Mus musculus: one gene and its partner. The protein of the gene in region 2 purifies or fractionates together with the protein of the main gene of each other region. This does not show direct contact. Links are inferred from orthologs where the notes say so. Each region holds a gene or a part of one and is shown on either strand. Other genes may lie near its edges.

Region 1 (3,652 bases), about 18 Mb from region 2:
TCTCATATAAACAATGAAACTGTCCCAGACAGCAATGGCTACATTCTAAGAGCACCAGGCATCTCTGGTTAGCTATCCTCTACGAGTGACCGGTGGCTTACCTCAAGCATAAGACAGAGATGAGTACAAGCAGTACACAGTCTTCTGGAACTCTGTGCAGACTGATGCCTTGGTGAGGCTGCACGGCTACTGCTCACATCGCACTAGAGACCACAGCCTAGCTCAGTCTACAAACTGCTGGCTAAGTATCTTGTCTACAGGTGTGATCTGAGCCCACCTCCATAGCTCTAAAGAAGAAACCAAATCAGAATGACTAGCCTTCTCTATAGCATTTCACAGGATGGACTGCCGACATGTTGAAGGCTCGCTCTCACAGTATTAACATTTTTCTTAAAGGACACCTTGAGTTACATTTGGCACTTATTTGAATGTATCTATTGGGGCAATTTATTTGTACTTAACTTTTGGCAAAATAGAAACTTTGGTCATAGTTCTATAAAAACTTCTTAAAGGGTTATTTCTGGTTAAAATACTATTTTAGGAGTGATATACAACAAGAACAAGAAAGTAAACATAGTCATATCTAACATAAGAGCATGAGCTCTTCACCAGCATCTTAAATACAGCGGGAGTCAGTAGTGCTTACAAACGGAGAATAATCTTAAAGAACAGTTTCCTAGCTATCAAAATAAGGCACACCCTGCTATTGTCACCCATTGCTGTTAGGCAGTAGTGTTCTTCTTGGAAGGTCCAAGTTAGGAATCTAATTACCCAAAAGTTTAAAATGTGGTTTTGAAGATGATGTCAGATGTGGGGACAGCTGCCTTGAACAAAACCCCCTTCCTGGAATCCACAACAAGTCATCTTGAGTGACAACATCCACCTCCATTCAGCACTCAGAACTACACAAGTCCTCTTTCCCAGTCCAGAAATCTGTAAAGGCACTGTGCAAAATGTGGGGAGGGTAGGTCACACCTCCAGTTTGGAGTGTATATGAAAAACAAAGGCACATTTTCTAGGCACTAAACTGTATGTAAACTAACAAAAATAATCATTTGGAAAAAAAACAATAGGTAAGCTCGATAACACGGCAGGTTCTAAGTAGAAAGTCTTGAAGAAGATCCTGAATATCGGGCTTCAGTTTCATCGGTTCTTCATTAAGAGACACACCACACTAAGAGGCAGGGAAGATTTAGAAACAATGAAAAGGGCATGTTAGTCTTTGTGTGTGCAAATACTCAGTAGGGATGGACTTCTACTGTCTAAAGAGGGACAGAGAGAAACTGACTTGGCCAGTTTTCCACTGGCAGCTTCTTTACATGCTACAGGGCTCTGGGGAAGACTAAACTCAAAAGTGGAAAAGGAAATACTAACAAGAACTAGCAAAGGAAGGCATGCTTTGCTAGGATGTTCGCATAGACTGGAATGAAAATAAAGTGAGTTCTTCTAATATGCAGTCACAAGAGTGGTGGGAGTAGCTATGTGCTAGCTATATACATTATTTACATAATTACTATTTCTGTTCTCCTATGCCAGGTACTTTCTTATGTAATAACCAGGTTTGTCCTAACAACACAAGGTGGACACCATTACCATCTTCATTTTATTCATGAGGACACTTGAGGTCCAGACAGACCCAACTGCTTGCCCAAAGTCACAGAGCCTTACTACAGGTGGCATAGCTGGGATGGATCAACTCAGCTAATCACTACATTCCACAAAAGGACACAGACTAAAACTGCACAGGAGAGAAAAATTGACCAGACATTAGGAGTGAGATTTGCTATTCTTAAAGGATAAGTGCACCCATCTATCCATCATCCATCTAACAAAACACCAGACTTTAATTACAAAAACTCAAATATTTAGGATCATTTTGGTGGCACAGGCCTATAATCCTAGCGCTTGAAATGTTAAGGCGGAAAGATCACAAGTTCAAGGCCAGCCTGGGTTGAACATCGAGACCCTGCCTCGAGACCCTGCCTCAAACTTCCCGCAATACCATCATCTCAAAACACCCTCAAGTATTTAAAATACTTGATAAAGAACGATATTTAAACCTTGGACTGAATCCACTCTTTGCTGCTGCACAGACGAACGTCTATGACCATGGGTAACTCACCGATGATGATGATGACAATGATCACCAGGACACTGATCCCTATCGCCCACATCTGCAACAAGACAGATCCATTTAACATTGCAAAACAGACAGTGCTCGCCGCAACCGCTACAGTGTGAAATAATTTATATAATTTCTAAAGCCTAAATTTTATATTTTCAGTTAAGTCCTGAAATTTAGTTATGGGCTTTCAGAAGTAGATTCCAATCCTCTGTGACCTCTGAAAACACACACATTTCCACACAGGCTCCTGATCTTGTCCCATTATCTCAGAGTGTCCTTTCTAAACAAAGCATAACAGGAAGTGTGTGAGCTCTAATCACAGACATTCCCATTTGCTAAGTCTGCTTTGGACAATATTCATATGTTGCTTTCTCCTCTTTTTGAACAAGGTGGGATTTCTTAGCATTTAACTTTTTTTTTTTTTTAAAGATTTATTTATTTATTATATGTAATACACTGTAGCTGTCTTCAGACACTCCAGAAGAGGGAGTCAGATCTCGTTACGGATGGTTGTGAGCCACCATGTGGTTGCTGGGATTTGAACTCCTGACCTTCGGAAGAGCAGTCGGGTGCTCTTACCCACTGAGCCATCTCACGAGCCCAGCATTTAACTTTTGAAATTGGAGCCATTCCCAGAATGGGCAGTTAACTGAGCATCAAAGCCAATAGCCCCGTCAGTGTGTTCTCAGTTACCTAGGTCTAGTGCCCACGACTGCTTGGGCCGTCTGATTCTGCATGTCTTCTAACTTTAGCCACAAAACATGGCATTAGATTCCCAGCTGTGGGCCAGGAAAAGGGATATAGACTCATAGTTGGCCAAGATTCTACCCACTACCCAGAGTCACCCAATGCAACAGAGTGCCTGTGCAACACTTGGGGTATGGAGGCCCGCTGTGAAGGTCTGTCAAGAGAGCATTACCTTGCAGTTCTTCCACCAATACTTTCTCTTCAACTTGGCAGCACTTGTTTCAAACTGCGAGGCACCTGCCTGCAGTGCATCTGCGCGGTCATCTAGCTCCGAGAGCTTCTGGTCTCTTTCTAACACCTTATCCACATTGACTCTCATGATGTCAACCACCTAAATGGACATGGTCACAGTTACACGGAAAGGAGAGGAAGAACAAAACTCCACATGACACCTATGGGCACTTTGTATTTTTTTCCAGATCAGTACTTTATTATGTTGAGCTAAACTTCCACTTAAGAAGGAAGCCCAGGCCTTTGGGATACATCCACACAGCAAACCAGGAATAGAAGAGACTTCAATTACAGAGAAGCCCACATTAGTATCACATACTATGGTGAGAGACTCAACTTCCTTCTAAGATCTGAAGCAGAACAACAGGATGTTTCACTTTCATGGCTGTTCAACACTACACTGGCAGTCTTGGTCAGGGCAATTATCCAGGGGAAGAAAGGCATCCGGTTGGAACAGAGGAGTACAACTATCTGTGCCACATGTAAGAAACTCTTAAGACTCCTTCATAGGAGGCTGCAGAGATGACTCATCAGGTAAGCTGAGTGCAA
Region 2 (3,652 bases):
TGAGTGTGGTGGCACACACCTTTAGTCCCAGCACTGGGGAGGCAGAGGCAGGCAGATTTCTGAGTTGGATGCCATCCTGGTCTACAAAGCAAGTTCCAGGACAGCCAGAAGTACACAGAGAACCCAACAAAACAAAACAGAATGTTCTATTCTTAGGGGTGGAGAGATAGTTCAGTGGTTAAGAGTACTGGTTGCGGGCTGGTGAGATGGTTCAGCAGGTAAGAGCACTGACTGCTCTTCCGAAGGTCCTGAGTTCAATTCCCAGCAACCACATGGTGGCTCACAACCATCCATAATGAGCTCTGACACCCTCTTCTGGTGTGTCTGAAGACAGCTACAGTGTACTTAATAAATCTTTAAAAAAAAAAAAAAAAAAAAAAAAAAAAGCACTGGTTGCTTTTCCAGAAGGCTGAGGTTCAATTCCTAGCACCAACTTGGTGGTTCATGACTGTTGATAGCTCTATTTCTGTGGGGTCTAGCTCTCTTTTCTGGCCTCTGTGGGCACTTCACATATATAGTGCACAGACATATGTTGCAGGCAAATCACCCATACACATAAAATAATAAAGTAAAAATTTTATTCTTTGGTGCTGGAAAAATGGCTCAGCAAGTAAAGAAAAGTGTTTGGAACCCACATGGTATAAGGAGAATTCAAAATTCTGGGAAGTTGTTCTGTAATGTCAGCGTATCTCATGTGCATCCTGGCACACCTGTGTCCAAATCCATCATGGTACACCTACACACACACACACACACACACACACACACACACACACACACACTAAACAAATAAATGTAATTTTCTCTTTAAAGTTCTGTTTTTTATCTCCGGCTGGGCTCAAACTCACAGAGATCCTCTTGCCCATGCTGGGACTAAAGGCGTGCAGCCCCGTAGCCCAGCTCTGTCCTTTACTGTAAAGTTGGTTGAGCAGCACTGTTTGCTTCCTCGAGATGTTGAGAGATGAGTGAGTAAGTGTTAGCGCAGGGAGCTATACTAAGGAGAGGTGACATGTCTCCATATCTTAGTGCTTCTAGAATGCTCTGGCTCCTGATTGGCTCCCTCTTGTTATCTCTCTACTTTTCTAATCTTAGAAGCCTGCTTGCAGTGAAAAATCACTGTGGAGTCCTGGGCACTAAGGCTGCTGCAGCAGTCGATCATAGGCCAGATAGTTTATAGACAACCATAGTTTTATTTTTCATAGTCCCCGAGGGTGAGATGCTGAATGAAGGTCAAGGCTCTGGCAGATAGCGTGTCAGATGAGGGCCCTCTTTTCCATGGAGAATGTTTGGGGTTTGTTTTCCTTTTGAAATGGTTTCACTATAAAGCCCTGGCTGCCCTGAAACTTACTATGTAGACCATCTAGCCTGGAACTCCAAGCCATCTACCCACCCAAGGATAGGGATGAAAGGCGTTTGCCATCACACTAGGCAGATGGTGCCTTCCTACTCGGTCCTTACTTGGTGGAATGGTTCCTTGAAAGGCCCATCACAGGCTAATCATTTTCTTTCTTTTTTAAAGATTTATTTCTATATGAGTACACTGTACCTGTCTTCAAACACACCAGAAGAGGGCATCAGAGTCCATTACAGATGGTTTTAAGCCACCATGTGGTTGCTGGGACTTGAACTCAGAATATTTGGAAGAGCAGTCAGTGCTTTTAACTTCTGAGTCATCTCTCCAGTCCACTAATCATTTTCTAATCCTACCTCCTAATAACATCACTTGGGGGCTTAGGAGTTCAGTGGGAATTCAGACCACAGCATGTGGCTTCTCTGTCACCCCATAAAACCTTTGTAGAAATGGCCGGAGAGGAGAGGTCGCCATGATGGGAAGAACCTGTGTTTATTTATTTTTATTTCCATTGCATCGTATTTATATCCATGTTCTTCCTCTTGAATTTGTTTGTTTGTTTGTTTTTGTTTTTTGTTTTTAGACATTTACTGTAGGAAGGCAGAGAGAGGGAGAGAGTAGGGAAGTAGGCTGGCCATGGCCACATGGAGAGAGACGGAAAGGGAAGATGGAGAGAAGAGGGGTAAGGGGGTAAGAATAAGAGGAGGAGCTCCCTTGAATTTCTTTTTCCTTCCATCCGTTCATCCCATTTTGTTTTAGAGACTGGCCTCAAATGTTCCTCCTATATCAGCCTCAGAGAAGCTAGGACTGTGATGGAGGTCACAGCGCCCATCACCTAGCTTCTTTGTGGTTTTTGGTTGTTAGTGTTTATGGTGCTACAGACTGAGTCCATTATCTTGCAGAAGAGGTAAGTGCTCAAAACAGCATAGGGTCCAGATGCCAGGCACAATGATGAAGGCGGGTAGGGGCAAAGGAAAAATCCACACAAGGAACCAACTTTTGGTTGGGAAGAGCTTGGGAATGGGTCTTTGGAACTTTTTCCTAGGTATGTAGGAAGCTATGCTTTTAATACGTGTTTCATCTAACGGCCCTAGTCAGTGGACTAATAAGTGCTGACCATACAGAGCTCCTGGGAGGTCAGTAAGAACTTTAGAGTGAGTTCAGTGTGTTGAAGTCATTAGGTTTGGGTGTAGGTAGTAATTACTCCTCTGTTTCTATAGAATACAGACATTCATTTTTTCCTAAATAGTTGAAACTCCTGGTCTGTGCTTGCTTCAGCAGGTATCATTGAGTGAGCATCTTTCTGCTCAGTGGAACTGCTTCAGTAATGGAGAAGGCCTTGCCCTGGGCTTGTGAGCATAGCACTGAAGGAAGCTCTTGTTCTAATGGCTCTTCATTCCTTGTACTAGGAGTCCCTGAGCACAAAGTAACAATAAGAGAGCTCTCAAGAAGCCACAGCATCCTGACCCTGTCTTTTCTCTCTTAGGCAACAGTTACAGCACTCCACAAATCAGCTGGCCAAGGAAACAAATGAGTTGCTGAAGGAATTAGGGTCCTTGCCCCTACCCTTGTCTGCATCAGAGCAGGTTGGTATTTTCTGTTTTGTTTATTAATAGAGGAAGATTTTGTTCTGATGGAATGGTAGTATAGAGAACAAAAGTAGGGCTTTGGTTCTCGATAAACATTCTCTAAACCTTAATTTCCTTACTACCTTCCCCAGTTTCATTTCTGTTGCTATGATAAAATACCAAAACAAAAAGCATCCTAGAGGAAAATTCACAATTCCAGATTATAGTCTCTTATTGTGGGAAAATCAAGGTAGCAGGAACTTGGAGCACCTCGTCACATCTCGTCCACACTCAAGAGGAGAGAAATGAGTGCGTGTGTGCTTGTTCTATTGTCACGTGCTGTGCTTAGCTCCATTTTTCTACTTTTTTAAAAAAGTTTTTTATTATCTTTATGTATGTGAGCACACTGTTGCTCTCTTCAGACACACCAGAAGAGGGCATCAGATCCCATTACAGATGGTTGTGAGCCACCATGTGGTTGCTGGGAATTGAACTCAGGACCTCTGGTAGAGCAATCAATGCTCTTAACCGATGAGCCATCTCTCTCCACCCCCATTTTTCTCCTCTCACACAGCTCATGATCTCCTACCTAGGGAATGGTGCTGCGTGCAGTGGGCTGGATTCTCCCACACTAGTCAGTTTAGTTAAGACAATCTCCTATAGACACGTTGACAAGCCAATTCAATGTAAACAATCACTCATTGAGATTCTTTTCCCAAATAATTATAGGTTG

The links.
Region 1: the proteins of Stx12 (region 2) and Vamp3 purify together in Homo sapiens (affinity purification with mass spectrometry; 3 studies listed by BioGRID and IntAct, counting the BioPlex papers as one, with this or other methods). This does not show direct contact. The link is inferred for Mus musculus from reciprocal best matches to the Homo sapiens genes STX12 and VAMP3.

The regions. Positions count from the first base shown.
Region 1 is NC_000070.6:151,047,873-151,051,524, forward strand, and holds part of Vamp3 (vesicle-associated membrane protein 3), read right to left. Parts: exon of another isoform or gene 3,204-3,652; coding exon 3,045-3,203; intron 2,175-3,044; coding exon 2,123-2,174; intron 1,175-2,122; coding exon 1,158-1,174; 3' UTR 1-1,157. UniProt on the Homo sapiens protein: SNARE involved in vesicular transport from the late endosomes to the trans-Golgi network.
Region 2 is NC_000070.6:132,867,453-132,871,104, reverse strand, and holds part of Stx12 (syntaxin-12), read left to right. Parts: intron 1-2,837; coding exon 2,838-2,937; intron 2,938-3,652. UniProt on the Homo sapiens protein: SNARE promoting fusion of transport vesicles with target membranes. Together with SNARE STX6, promotes movement of vesicles from endosomes to the cell membrane, and may therefore function in the endocytic recycling pathway.